2 linked regions of the Nothobranchius furzeri genome follow. The protein of the gene in region 1 purifies or fractionates together with the protein of each later gene. This does not show direct contact. Links are inferred from orthologs where the notes say so. Each region holds a gene or a part of one and is shown in the gene's direction. Other genes may lie near its edges.

The links.
Region 2: the proteins of F-box/LRR-repeat protein 12 (region 1) and styx purify together in Homo sapiens (affinity purification with mass spectrometry; 4 studies listed by BioGRID and IntAct, with this or other methods). This does not show direct contact. The link is inferred for Nothobranchius furzeri from reciprocal best matches to the Homo sapiens genes FBXL12 and STYX.

Annotation. Positions count from the first base shown.
Region 1 is NC_091741.1:79,988,629-79,992,682, forward strand, and holds the start of F-box/LRR-repeat protein 12, read left to right. Parts: upstream 1-1,254; 5' UTR 1,255-1,557; coding exon 1,558-1,658; exon of another isoform or gene 1,659-1,742; intron 1,743-1,794; coding exon 1,795-1,870; intron 1,871-2,373; coding exon 2,374-3,414; 3' UTR 3,415-4,054. Other genes in the region: cops6 (COP9 signalosome complex subunit 6), read right to left, coding at 1-28, 1,106-1,148. UniProt on the Homo sapiens protein: Substrate-recognition component of the SCF (SKP1-CUL1-F-box protein)-type E3 ubiquitin ligase complex.
Region 2 is NC_091749.1:54,434,973-54,443,938, reverse strand, and holds the start of styx (serine/threonine/tyrosine-interacting protein), read left to right. Parts: upstream 1-3,291; 5' UTR 3,292-3,517; coding exon 3,518-3,577; intron 3,578-3,884; coding exon 3,885-3,917; intron 3,918-3,999; coding exon 4,000-4,053; intron 4,054-4,150; coding exon 4,151-4,248; intron 4,249-4,339; coding exon 4,340-4,400; intron 4,401-4,467; coding exon 4,468-4,504; intron 4,505-4,582; coding exon 4,583-4,622; intron 4,623-7,674; coding exon 7,675-7,725; intron 7,726-7,819; coding exon 7,820-7,892; intron 7,893-8,966. UniProt on the Homo sapiens protein: Catalytically inactive phosphatase. Acts as a nuclear anchor for MAPK1/MAPK3 (ERK1/ERK2). Modulates cell-fate decisions and cell migration by spatiotemporal regulation of MAPK1/MAPK3 (ERK1/ERK2).

The DNA of each region.
Region 1 (4,054 bases):
ACTCCCGAGGCCATGACACTAGGGCCCACTACAGACACGTGGACACAGATGTAAAATAAGCTTTAACTGGACACCAGCAACATGTAACATAAAGCTCTTTACTCGAAAACAAACAAAAACTGTAAAACAAATGACTGGTTTTGGGAAAAAGGAGGTTGCATTTTAACAAACAGCAAATATTTGAAGTTTTATTATGTATAAAAATAATATTTTAACTCCAATAAGGCAGATCCCAAAGAATCCCTCGTATGTCTCATTTATCAGATAATCAGCTGAAGGATGTCTCCACTAAATCAGAAATTGGACTAATTAAATGTAATGCTCTCAATTCTCCTTTTAAAGAGTTGTCTCTGTGGTATGGCGCTAACTGCTGCAGCACTATGGGTGAATCAGTTTTTTTTAGATGCTGAGAAAGTGTCAATCACATTAACCACAGCAATATCATACCCAGATACCAACCCAGACAAACAACAATAAACAAGCAGATGTTTTTGTTTATATGGCCAATGTTTGATGTATTTATTGAACCAAGAAGATCCCACTGAGATTAACAACCTCTTTTTCAAGGGAGACCTGGCCAAGCTAGGCAGCAGCCAGGATAAATATAACTGGTTAGAGTTAGGTTTGCATCATCACACAGAAATAACAAAGCCGAATTGAAATAAACTTAGTAGTGAAGCCATAGGTGGGCGAAAATAAGGGAAGCAACTGAACTGTAGTTTGTTTTTGCCAAAATGACGTGACAGAGCAATGGAAATCAGGTGTACACAACGTCCCTCGTGTGCTCCTCTAATATGCTGTGCTGTAATTTGAACAGAATACATAAAATAGTATTTTCAAAAAACAATTAGTGTATATAAATTTATATTCACACAAGTCATCCAGACTCCAGTCAAAGAACAGAAAAGGAGCGACGGTAACATCCAGAGTCATGACTACAGACTGAGCAGTGCACGTTAACCCACTTATGTCAGCAGCAGCCTTTAATGACACTAAGTCTTAACTTGGGGTCATTCACACCCAAACTGTACAGCATGTAAGGGAATCGTACATCCATCTATGCTGATGTCAGACTTAAATGGTGAAATAAGAAATAAATACTCGCCTGCCCCATCCACTTCCATTCCTCCACCATCGCTGGTCGCCATCTTGTCCGGTGTGTGAGGCAACAGCGCCTCCTGGAGTCACAATATACCATGGTCACACAATTCGGTGCAACATCTATTCAACGCGCAGGCGCAGGAGGGCTGTTCAGCTAACGAACGTTAGGTGGCAACAAACTGCATTTCAGGCTGTTTCAAAACAAGGTGTGGAGCTCGACCTTTGTCAGAAATTTGTCAAGTGTTATCAAAAGAAAGAAAATATCGACGGAGACACAACTATCCGAAGGAATTTATAATATTGTATGTTCTTTAATCCAACGTCTAGGTCATACAGCATCATACAGTCAACGAGTAGCCGTTTCCTGGGGATTACTGATTTGGGCGCAACCCGTGTGCGTCAGGATATTAGTCCGTGTGGAAGCTTTACGAGTTTTTTTTTTTTTTTTTTAACGAAATGGACGAATTTAAAGCCTGTAATCTGGACTACTTTCCCGAGAACATTTTGATAGATGTTTTGTCATACCTGAGCGTCAAAGAGCTTGTCAGAGCTGGAAGGTAAGACCTGTATTCCAGCTGAAATTTTGCTTGTATGCCAAAAACTCAGCGCCAGGCTTTTTCTTTGTTATGACTCATCCGGTGGTGTAAGTGAGTTTGCTCTGTGTTGCTGCCATTGTTTTCCTCTTTTTTTTAGGGTGTGCAAAAGATGGAAACGCCTTGTTAAAGACCAAAGACTGTGGAAAACTGTCGACTTGACCTCATGGAAGGGGGTAAGAATTGTCAGCACACTGTGTGGCTTTAACGTTTTATTTATCTGATGTTTATTCTTTATGAAAATAATCACAATAAAGTAACACCTGCGAGTTACAAACAATGTTGCATTAGGTTTTAGACATAAAATATCTGTTCCAGTAACACCTGTGTCAGAAGGAAGTTATTTTTAATGTTTTGTCTGAATGACTAAATTATACGCTTTTTCATAAATATGTACAGAAACGGTAAACACAAAGTTTTGCGTTTGTAAAGTCACTTGATGGTTTTAGATGCAACACCAAAGTAAAAGAGGAACTTTCTCATGAATAAAATCAACTTATTTACCCATAATGAACCAGTCAGTGATACGTGTGTATTTTAACCTAAAGAAAAATGTGTTTGTTTGCATAGTTATTAACAGTTATTTTCTCCTTTTCCCCATCACACACACACACACACACACACACACACACACACACACACACACACACACACACACACACACTATCCACTGTGTCAGGTGACATCCCGCATCCTTTGGGTCCTGCTGCGTCAGTACCTTGGTTGTGGACTAAGATGCCTTCGCTTGCGAGGTTTGCTGCTGTCAGCCCGAGGCGGCACCTTTCTCTCTGAGTCTTGGCTCAAAGCTTTGTCCACAAGATGTCCCCGTCTGAGTAAGCTCTACCTTCTGCATACAGACCTGAGAAGTCTACCTAACTGCCTGGTTTTCCCTCGAACTTTGAGAGTGCTGGAGCTGCGTGGTTGTGAGTTGCCTCGGGGTTTTTTCAACCAAAGCTCTTCTAATTCAGCCACTCATCCCCCTGGCAAAGCAGAAGCCACTTCTAGTGCTCCTCATCAAGGAAGGGATCAGAAAGGAACAGGGCTTGGCTCTCCTCTGGGAGTTTGTATTGAGAAGTTAATCCTCAACAATGTGCCCTCTTTCACAGACCAGCATCTGCAGAGTCTAACATCGTGGCAGAGGCTAAGTCAACTGGAGTTGCGTGACACTTTTCGTATAACAGCTAATGGGCTTCGAAATTGTGCAGCCAAGGATGGTCTCTCGGGGGTAGAAGGGCTCTCACGGCTGAAATTTCTTGAAATAGGAATTACGGGACGACAAGGATACCAGTTACAGATGGCCTCCCTTGGACTAGGGGCAGGGTGGATTGGACTGGAGGAGCTGAGTCTTGGTGGTAAGGAGGTGGGGCCGGGTTTGCTCTGTGCCAGCCGTCTGAAGGACCTGAAGCATTTGTGCCTTTGGGCCTGCAAGCTCAGTGAGTTGCAGATTGTGCGGAGCTGCAGGATGCTTCGAGGATTGCGTCGGCTGGAGTTTTTGGACGTGATCTTTCAGCCCATTCAGAATCCTCAAGTAGAAGAGGAACAAGAAGGTAATGATGAACAACCAGACAAAGAGGAAGGTGCAGATGCAAATATGAATGATGACAATATGGCACCAGATGTGAATGAACCTTTCCCAAGTCTGCGGCGCTCACTAGCTGTCCTGCTGCCATCTTGCTCTCTGGTTTTCACCAACTGTTCTGTTCAGATTATTTCAGACTGAATCTGTGTAAGTAGCTAAGAATACCTTTCCTTCTCAGGACAGTTGTAGCTCAAAAAGGAGAAATGTCTGATTGTTAGGTGGCAGGCTTAAAATCTAGCTCTAAGAATCCACTTACTAAAGTGACCTTAGACAAGTAGATAAACCAAAACATCAGTTAAGATGAGCTCATCATTTAGACTGTAAGCCATTAGTATATGAGTGAGTTTGTCAATGCATTAAAAAGGATTAAATGTGAGAGAAGATATTTTGTTAAGTGCTTTGGGAACAAGGCAAGAAAAGCATTTTTTAAACTTAATCGTGTATGCAGGTGTTTGAGCCAGATAACTGAAGCAAACTGTGAGAAACTCCACCTGTTTCCTGTTGTTTAACTGTTTATTTTTACAATCAAAATCACACGTGATGACCAAATGCACACCATAGCATACTGAAGTCTTTCTCACCCCCCCCCCCCCCCCCTCACCCCCCGGTTCACTTTTGTGTTACTGTCATCAATTTTAGAAACCACAAAACAAGAAATTAAGAATAATATTGTCTGTCATGTTTTAAGAAAATATTTTTTATGAGTTGAATTGGAATTGATGTTTAAAGTTTTCCCAAGGCTGAATTTTCCAGTTTTAAAGCATTCGTCATTTTATAATTA
Region 2 (8,966 bases), on another chromosome or scaffold:
GGTGGAACACAGAGGTCTCCGAGACCTCCACAAGCCGGCAGCCGCACAGCAGACAAGCGCCGCTGCGATCTGAGATGCGCAGAGATGCCGCTGGGGAGAACCGGGTGGAAAGGTTTCCATCCCAGAGCTCCACAAGCCGACAGCCCGCACATCAAACAGAAGCCACGATCAGACAGAGTTGCGCCGAGCTGCGGGGAGAAACATGTGGAAAACAGAGGTCTCCAGAGAGCTCCACAAGCCGATAGTCGGAACCCAGCTCCACCAACATGTAATATTTTAGCCCATTTTCTAAAGTGCAGCATTATGTTAAATGCACTGGGATTTACCCTATTACATTTAAATTTCATGGTTAAACAGTACATGTTAAAATCTAAGCTCAGCTCGGCAGTGACCTAAAATACATAAATATAATTTTACTTACCGAAAATAATGAAGTGGAGACTCGTTGGACGCTCTATTAGTGCAATTAATGCCACAGCAAGTCATTTTGTCCAACAGTTGCACAAATAATATCCAAAAAAAGAATACACAAACCCAAAGCTAATGCGGAGAAGGGAGCTAAGCTAATGGAGGTAGCAACCTAGCTACAACCGGAGTTAACTGTGCACAACACCAGAGCTTCAAAATCCCTGAGCAGTTTCCAAGCCAGGCCGAGGCTCGACTGAGGCCTTTCCACGGAGCTAGCTCTGTGGTCACGTGGGTCTGATGCTCATTAATTATACAGAAATTTAGGCTTTTAATATACTTAAACAGAAGAGTGAGAAAAAATTCATTTTTCCTTCTTCTTGCCTTTCATGGCCTTTGTTTTAGGCTTTTGTTGTTTATTTTTTCTGCAGTGCCTTCAGTAAAATGTTTACTGTATTACTGCACAGAAAAGTGACATTTAATTAAATAAAAATGGATTTAACTAACTAACTAACGCTGCCATCATTCATTCATGCTGCAGCACACGGCCCCCGAGGGAATACAAACATTGACAGCGACTGTCATTTGGTCCATGCTTGAACAGTCTGAGAAGAATGAAAAAAACAGTAAAGTAAATGACAGCAACAGTAAATAATTAGCTGAGCAAATGGAAACTTCAGTAATGCTTGCATTTATGAATAATAAATCAGAGCCATCTTTTGATTCATTAAATGTTTATACTTATCAATATCCTCTGGTGGTGGTGTAATTGGACAGTGAGATAAAGACTGAATGTTCACAAGCCCGTTTCGGATCATTTTTATAAGAAAACTGGTGATTTTATTCATTCATATCCCTAATTTGTTGACATTAATTTTGTCTAAAGAACACTCTTATTGATTAATATTAAGATCAAGTTTTTAATGAAAGTGTATTTCTTTCCTTTATGCAAAAATGAATGTGGTAAATGGATGATTAAAAACTGCTTTCTTTTGGATGTTTGTGCCACAGGGAAGCGAGTTCACTGTGTTTTCTAAGCACTCTGATAAGGATTAAGGATAAAGGGTTGAATATGTTTCCTGTTACTGATATCCTTCAAAGAAACTTTATTTTTTCTGGTTAGTGTGACTGTGGAAAGGTGACAGCATTCTATGTCTCTGCATCTGATAAGAAGTAACTTTTTGTCACTTCTCTCTGCTGACCAGCACCGCTGCGGAGTTTTTAACTCACAAACACCTGCTCATCTCAACAAAGATGTATTTGTCAGATGAGGAGATCCATGATATGTAAAGAAGGAGCCTTTGCCCTCCACGATGACTCAGGCACAACACTGTGTTCAAATTATTGTTTGAAGATAAGAAGGAAAAAAAATGTGATAAGAGGAAAACAGAGAAGGTAACTTTTTTTAATAAAAAAACATATTTCAGTGACAAGAACTTGTAAATGAATTAGAAAATCTTTATATGATTTTAAATAAAAATGTATTTAACATAAACTTTAAAATACAATAGAAAATAACAGAAATAATCATAGGAATATAATGACAACTCAGTGCAAGAAAACAATGCAAAAGCAATAAAACGTGTTTTTTTATTTTTTTTTACTTACTGACAAGACAATAGTTCCAATAAATAGTTGAAAAGAAACATTTTAAAGGTTTGTACCCAGCTGTAATTAAAAATATAGGATCTGTTTCTTCCAGGTGGATCATCTGAACCATTGGTCCGCATAACTGTCAAACATTCTGGTGAGCCAGTCACATCAAGGCCGTCGTTGCACATGCTTGTTGCTGGGCAGTTTTCACTTCCTGCGCATCCGCAAAGCGAAGGTTGGGCTCCCCACAGACGCCTCGCTCACCTGCTCGACAGGTAAGCTAAAGTTCGGCATGCTATTTGGAGAAATTCATTTCATATAACTGCTAAAAGAAGTTAGCTGCAAGTCCAGCAGCTACTCGTGAACAAAGCGTGCACTGGGATAACTGGGCGTTCTCTCTCATGCGCATTTTTTCAAATTATGGAGAGGGCGGTTCTTTCCTGACATTCAGAAACATCCTCCACCATACATTTAAGATTATCATTTGCAGCAAACTCATACAGTGAGAGTTGTTTATCTGCAGAATATTTCTTCCTAACGGTATACTAAGCAATTTTACTTGCTTTCACCACCCCCTAGTGTCCGTTATTAACTATTAGTGGTCAAAGCAAAAGAGAGACTTATCTCCTTGCTGTGCATTTGTCCTAACGCACAACGTTAACCTACAGCTGCAATGTCTCCCCAGCCTGAACCTTTAAGGACCTGTGTATAAACTTTAAAATACAATATAAAATAACACACACACACACACACACACACACACATATATATATATATCACAACCGATTTTAACCGGTGGTGACACTGGTGTCACCACCGGTTTTAAACATCTGCAAAATTTCTTCTTGGGTCAAATATTCAAGTTTGAAAACCCAGAGTGAAAATCTATCCATACATATATTGGAAATTATTCAACTTCTTTATTTTATAACATTTTTTTCCTACATCTTGATGTATTTGTCCAATCTGTTTTGTAATTCAAAACGGTTTGGGTTAATTGGTTTCTAAAGGAGCGATTCATTACTAAATCTAACAAATTAGCTGTGTTCATTTTCTAAATGCAGGAAATGTGCTGGAAACAGAATGCAGTGCTAGGTATGTCAAATGCATTTTTTCTAAGTCTAACTGATGGTGGCCTGGCACTTTGAAGTTGCAAATTCTTGCCGCAGAGGGTGGTGGGGTCTGAGAGGCATTTCATTAAGCCTGTGAAAGGTCAGTTAGCACAAACTCAAGAATGTGATTTAAATACATGAAAGATTGTGCAGTATCTCTTTAACAGGTATGGGACGTTTGTCCTTCCGTACTTTTGGCCTTCCAACTTAAAGGATATATTGGCTTACCATAAATTCTGGCATGCTGTCTGCTCAGGAGTCACGTGACACATGTGTCTGGGAACAGTATGGCGGACATGCATGTGGAGCCTCCAAACAAGTTACACCGATTATCCAGCTAACCCCGTCGCTAGAACCATCTTTGCCGCGCGTGAAACCGGGCCAGCAGAGCCCGAACTCACAGCAGAATGGACGAGGAAATCAAACTCCAGTTCCCGGATCTTCCTTCCTCCAAGGAGGAGCTGCTGGTGAGGAGAAAACATGAAACTGGAGCCGACACGCTAATTTTAGCTAACATACTCTCCGGCATTATTGTGAAACGTTTAGATTACAAGGCATTCAGTGTGAGGATATATGAACTTAACACAAACTAGTCATGTGTAAAACTCATCTTCTCTTTATTTAATAAATATTAAAATATTTAATCATGTAGCTAAAACCAAGAAGATGCCTAGCGTTAGCCACGTATGTACACAAGTAAACTTACCTTAACATTTCCTTAAACTTTTGATTTGGTTTTTTGTTTTGTTTTGTTTTTTTTTTGTTTTTTCACAGGACTGGGCTTATCCAATGAGGCGAGAAATGCAGGTATGTTATTGTTGTCTAGTAGCATCCATTCCTCCTGTTGTTGTTGATGTTGTGCTATTTGTTTTTTTTTTAATCCATTTAGGAGATTTTACCAGGATTGTACTTAGGCCCCTATTCTGCTGCAATGAAAAGCAAGGTAACAACTAAAAATCGAATGTTTGCTTGAGCTGTGTTGAATATGAAACGGTCACAATTTACATGAATTAATTACTTTAAAATTCATCTGTTTCCAGCTGCCAATTCTTGAAAGACACGGCATAACACATGTTGTGTGTATCCGCCAAGACATTGAAGCCAATTTTATCAAACCTAATTTTCCTCATAGATTTAGGTAAGGTGTTATTTTTGTCCCTTGAACATTTACGTACTCAGAACGCTTATACTAAATGTGAAGTCTTGAGTTATGAAGCTTTTTCTTGCAGATACCTTGTTTTAGATATTGCAGACAATCCAGTGGAGAATATAATTCGGTTTTTTCCTACGGTGAGTTAAAGTTTTAGCTTTTAATTCTCCGTTCTAGTATGTTTTTTCTTACATTTCCTTCTTGCAGACTAAAGAATTTATTGGTAGCTGTTTAGCCACAGAGGGTAAGGACACATACAGTTCCTATTTGTCATCATTTCAATGTGAAATATTTGATCAGCAGTCTTGTTTTGCTCCTCCAGGAAAGGTATTGGTTCACGGTAATGCAGGGATATCGAGAAGGTGAGGAGTTTTCTGTTTTTGACATGTTTCCTTATATAAATTTCAGGAGACAAAAATCTCTAATATAGACTCCTATAGCAGTTGCGCCACAAGTTCACCATCGGAGCGGGTTTTCAGCCCTGCAGGGAAAGTTGTCAGTCCATAGCATGCAATGTTGAAGCTGGAAAAGTAAAAATTTAATTTTTTTCTGGTGGAAACCCTTTTTAATAAGCTGCGTTTTTTTTTAAATAAAAGGTGTTAATATTATGCACATTGTTTTTTTTTTTTGTTGTTGTTTTTTTTCTGTAATAGTGTTTCAGTTTCTGAACAGTGGAAGTAATGTCACTTGAGGCTTACGTCATATTTTTTTATTTGTAATCGTAATATCAATCAGTCAATCACTTCATTAAAGACACAAGAAGGTCCATAACAGATCGTAATACCGTAGGCCAGGGCTTTTCAAGTTAGGGCCTCGAGGGTCGGTATCCAGCACTTTTTAAGAATAAGAATACCTTTTTTTTTAGTCCCTCAGGGGGAATTGCAGTATTGCAACAGCACAAGTACAGTAAAGTTAAAATAGTAGTACAGAAAAGCTATCACACAAAAGGAATTCAGTAAGTAACGTGGAATAGAAAAAGTGTTGAATTGAGAGTTTGATAGTTGTTGAACATAATGATTGTTGCTGTAAACATTGCACATGTATTGAATGGTGATGACAGTTGTGGCATTGCTACAGATACATAAGTTGTCACAGATTTATGAGTTACATATTAGGAGTGTTCCTTATAGAGTCTAATCGCAGCAGGAATGAAAGACATGTGGTATCTCTCCTTCACACTCCTTTGTCATGAAGTGACGGTGGCACAGGAAGTGCTCGCCCCGTAATCGGAAGGTTGCAGGTTCGAGCCCCACTCAGTCTGTCGCTGTCGTTGTGTCCTTGGGCAACACACTTAACCCACATTGCCTGCTGGTGGTGGTTGGAGGAACTGGTGGCGCCGGTGCTCAGCAGCCTCGCCTCTGTCAGTGCGCCCCAGGCCAGCTGTGGCTACATCGTAGCTCATCCCCACCAGTGTGTGAATGTGTGTGTGAATGATTGTGTTGTAAAGTGCCTTGAGGGGTTCCATGACTCTAGAAGGCGCTATATCAAATACAGGCCATTTACCATTCACACAACGAAGGTGGATCTGTCCGTCACTGAAGCGGCTCTCCAGAGCAGAGTTCTGCAGGGGGTGAGACTCATGGCCCAGCATGGATCTCAGTTTTGCCAGGATCCTCCTGCACTGAGTCCAGATGACAGCCCAGGACAAAGCTGGACTTCCTGATCACCCTGTCCAGCTTCTTCCTCTCTCTCTCTCTGTGATGCTGCTACTCCCAACAGATCACACCATACAGGAAAGCTGGTGCCACCACAGAGTCATAAAAGGTCTTCACGAGTGTCCACTCCAAAAGACTGCAGCCTCCTCAGGAGGTCGAGCCTGCTCTGACCCTTCCTGAACAGTGCATCTGTGTTGTGAGACCAGTCCAGTTTATTGTTCAGGTGAACACCCAGGTATTCATAAGAGCCAATTCTCTCAATGTCCATTCCCTGGATGTTCACCTGTGAAGGAGTGGCAGGCTGGCGTCTTTGAAAATCCCCCACCATCTCCTTTGTTTTCCCCGCGTTGATCAGGAGGTGGTTTTGCTGACAACAGTTTTGTGTCAGTCCTCTGTACTCCACATCACCGTCCTCGGTGATCTGGCAGACAATCACAGGGTCATCGGAGAACTTCTGCAGAACACATCTGTCTGTGTTGTGTCTGAAGTCAGCAGTGTACAGGGTGAAAAGAAAGGGTGCCAAAACAGTCCCCTTAGTGGCGCCCACACTGTAGGTCACACACACAGTCCCATGGTTTTAGTGGTTTCTCTGGTCCAACTCACTAGATTCAGTGGTTGAGTCACCTGTGCAGCAGCTCATCGGGTTCTGCAGAAGCCTGTTAATCACCTGCTGATTAAAATCAGGTGTGTTGAAGCACAGTTAAAACTAAAACATGCTGGATACCGGCCCTCAAGGCCCAGAATTGAATAGCCCTGCTGTAGGCCGTGGTAAAATGTGTAGAAAGTTAAACAATATCAAAATTTGGATACAAACCTAATAAGGTGCCTAAGTCACGTCCATCTACTTCCAAACCATGGGTCCCCTGAAGAACGAAAAATCGAATGCATGTCAATGGGGCTTTAAACTGCTATTTTCTAATTCCGTTATGAGCCATGGATTTCATATATGATGTCCGTGAATGTCAAAGACACATTCTGATGCATAGAAAGTGTTTATTTAAATCGGGCAAAAGTTATTTTAGGTTTTGTGTGAAAATACAACCAGGACTACAAATGTGCATCACCAAAGTGATGTCACCGAACCAGACATGGAGAAAAGCAGAAGAAAAATGGCTGTAAGTTTTGCGAACTTCAAACCACCATAAATCTGGCCATGTGGTAAGTAGCAGCTATGCTAGGGGAGAGGAGATTCTGTTGTGACGTCATATATGCGACGTGCCGACATCTGATTTGTAGTCATGCTAATTACGAACTTTTACAAGCTGATAATCTCAAAGTATGTGACAGGCGTGGTCGAAACACATCATTACTTTTCGTTTAAATTGAAGTACAGCACGAGTGTGAATCAGGACGTAAGGCAAAGCGGATTCGAAAATAGCTCCATTGACTTGCATTCATTTATTTGTTCCTGCGGGGACCCATGAGCCGACCGGAAAGGAAGGAGACTTGGGCTCCCTTTTTACACGTCTGATAAAAAATAAACGAGGGTTGTTTTCTCAATAAATACCTATGGTAGCTGGTTTTATCATAAAGTGATGCCATAAAAATGCCAGGGCTGCACTTAATATATTTTCTACTTTTTTTGTAGTTATCTATTATAGATTTAGGTCAATAAGAGCATTTTTTCTTGATATGCTTTTTTATATATCGTCCAGCCATACTCAGATGTATAATATCAGTAGTTTTTGTTTTGATGCTAATACAAGACCAAATCCATCTAAATGTCATCGTAACCACCGGGGTATATCTGTACTTTCAGTGCTGCTTTGGTGATCGCCTACCTGATGGAAACATTTGGGATGAAATACAGGTGACTTTTTTTTTTTTTTTTTTTTTTGCTGTAGACAAAGATTAATTGGAGAAGTGTGTTCTGCTTCAGTTTCTCCCCACTTTAAACTCTGCAGGGATGCATTCAGTTATGTCCAGGAGAGGAGATTTTGCATCAACCCCAATGTGGGCTTTGTGCATCAACTACAGGTAAGACTGGGGCTGAGTCCCAATTCTGCTTGGATTTTAATCATTTGGTCCTTATTTCAAATTAACAAGGGGGAGTGGCTCAAGGGTATTAGTTTTTTTTTTTAACTTTTGCTGTTGTCATTAGTTACACATCCCAGAATTGTTGAGGGCAAATGGGATGAAGGTAAGATGCAAGCAGGTGGTGACATGAGGCTCGACAGCTACTTTATATGGAGTTAGAAACCAACATACAGGCCAGCAGGAAATCCAGTATGAACACCTGATCTAATATGTTTAGGTATACAAGTGCCTCTTGTTGGTCAATATTAGTGAACTGGCTGGTAAAACGGAGAAATACTTGGGGTAATCTTGCAGACATTAATATTTCTGCACAATCTGAAACACTACGCAGGTATACATTTTTCATAGTTACCATAGCACCGTTTCACGCCACCGTTGCCAGTGTGGATTGGGGATTAGTTAAGTAGGGCTGAACGATATTTGGAAAACCTGCGCTGACGATATGATTTAATAAATAAATAAACAAATACTTAAGAAAAAAAATAAATCAAAAACAAAAATTTAAAAATGACTAAAAAGTGGGAAGAGCAAAAAATGTGATCAGATAATGTGAGGAAAGGGAAAAAGGAAATGAACCAGAAAAGGCAATCAGTGGATCCTGGAAAAAGCTGAATCGGCAGAAAGAGCAGGATGAAGCTAACTCGGTTGTTTGCTAGCCATCTAAATTACGTGCCTAGGGGGCAGGAATCTAACCTATAAGAACCCACCCAATTGGCCAAATCGGTGAAGGGCTCTACTTGATTTGTCAAAAATGTCATGCTTCTCTTTGACAAATTTCATTATGTGTAGAAAACATTTGAGCTGACCATTTGTTGTGGTTTTATCTGCTCTTTGCGATATGTGTGTTGCACATGCTGATATCACAATGGCGATGCATTTGTAATGTATTGTGCAGCCCTACTGTTAAGCCAAAATAGTTTTTTCTTTCTACTTGTTTGGCATATTTTTGAGTTACTTTTAACTAGGGCTGGGCGATGCGGCTTAAAAATAAAATCTTCGATTTTATTTTTTATT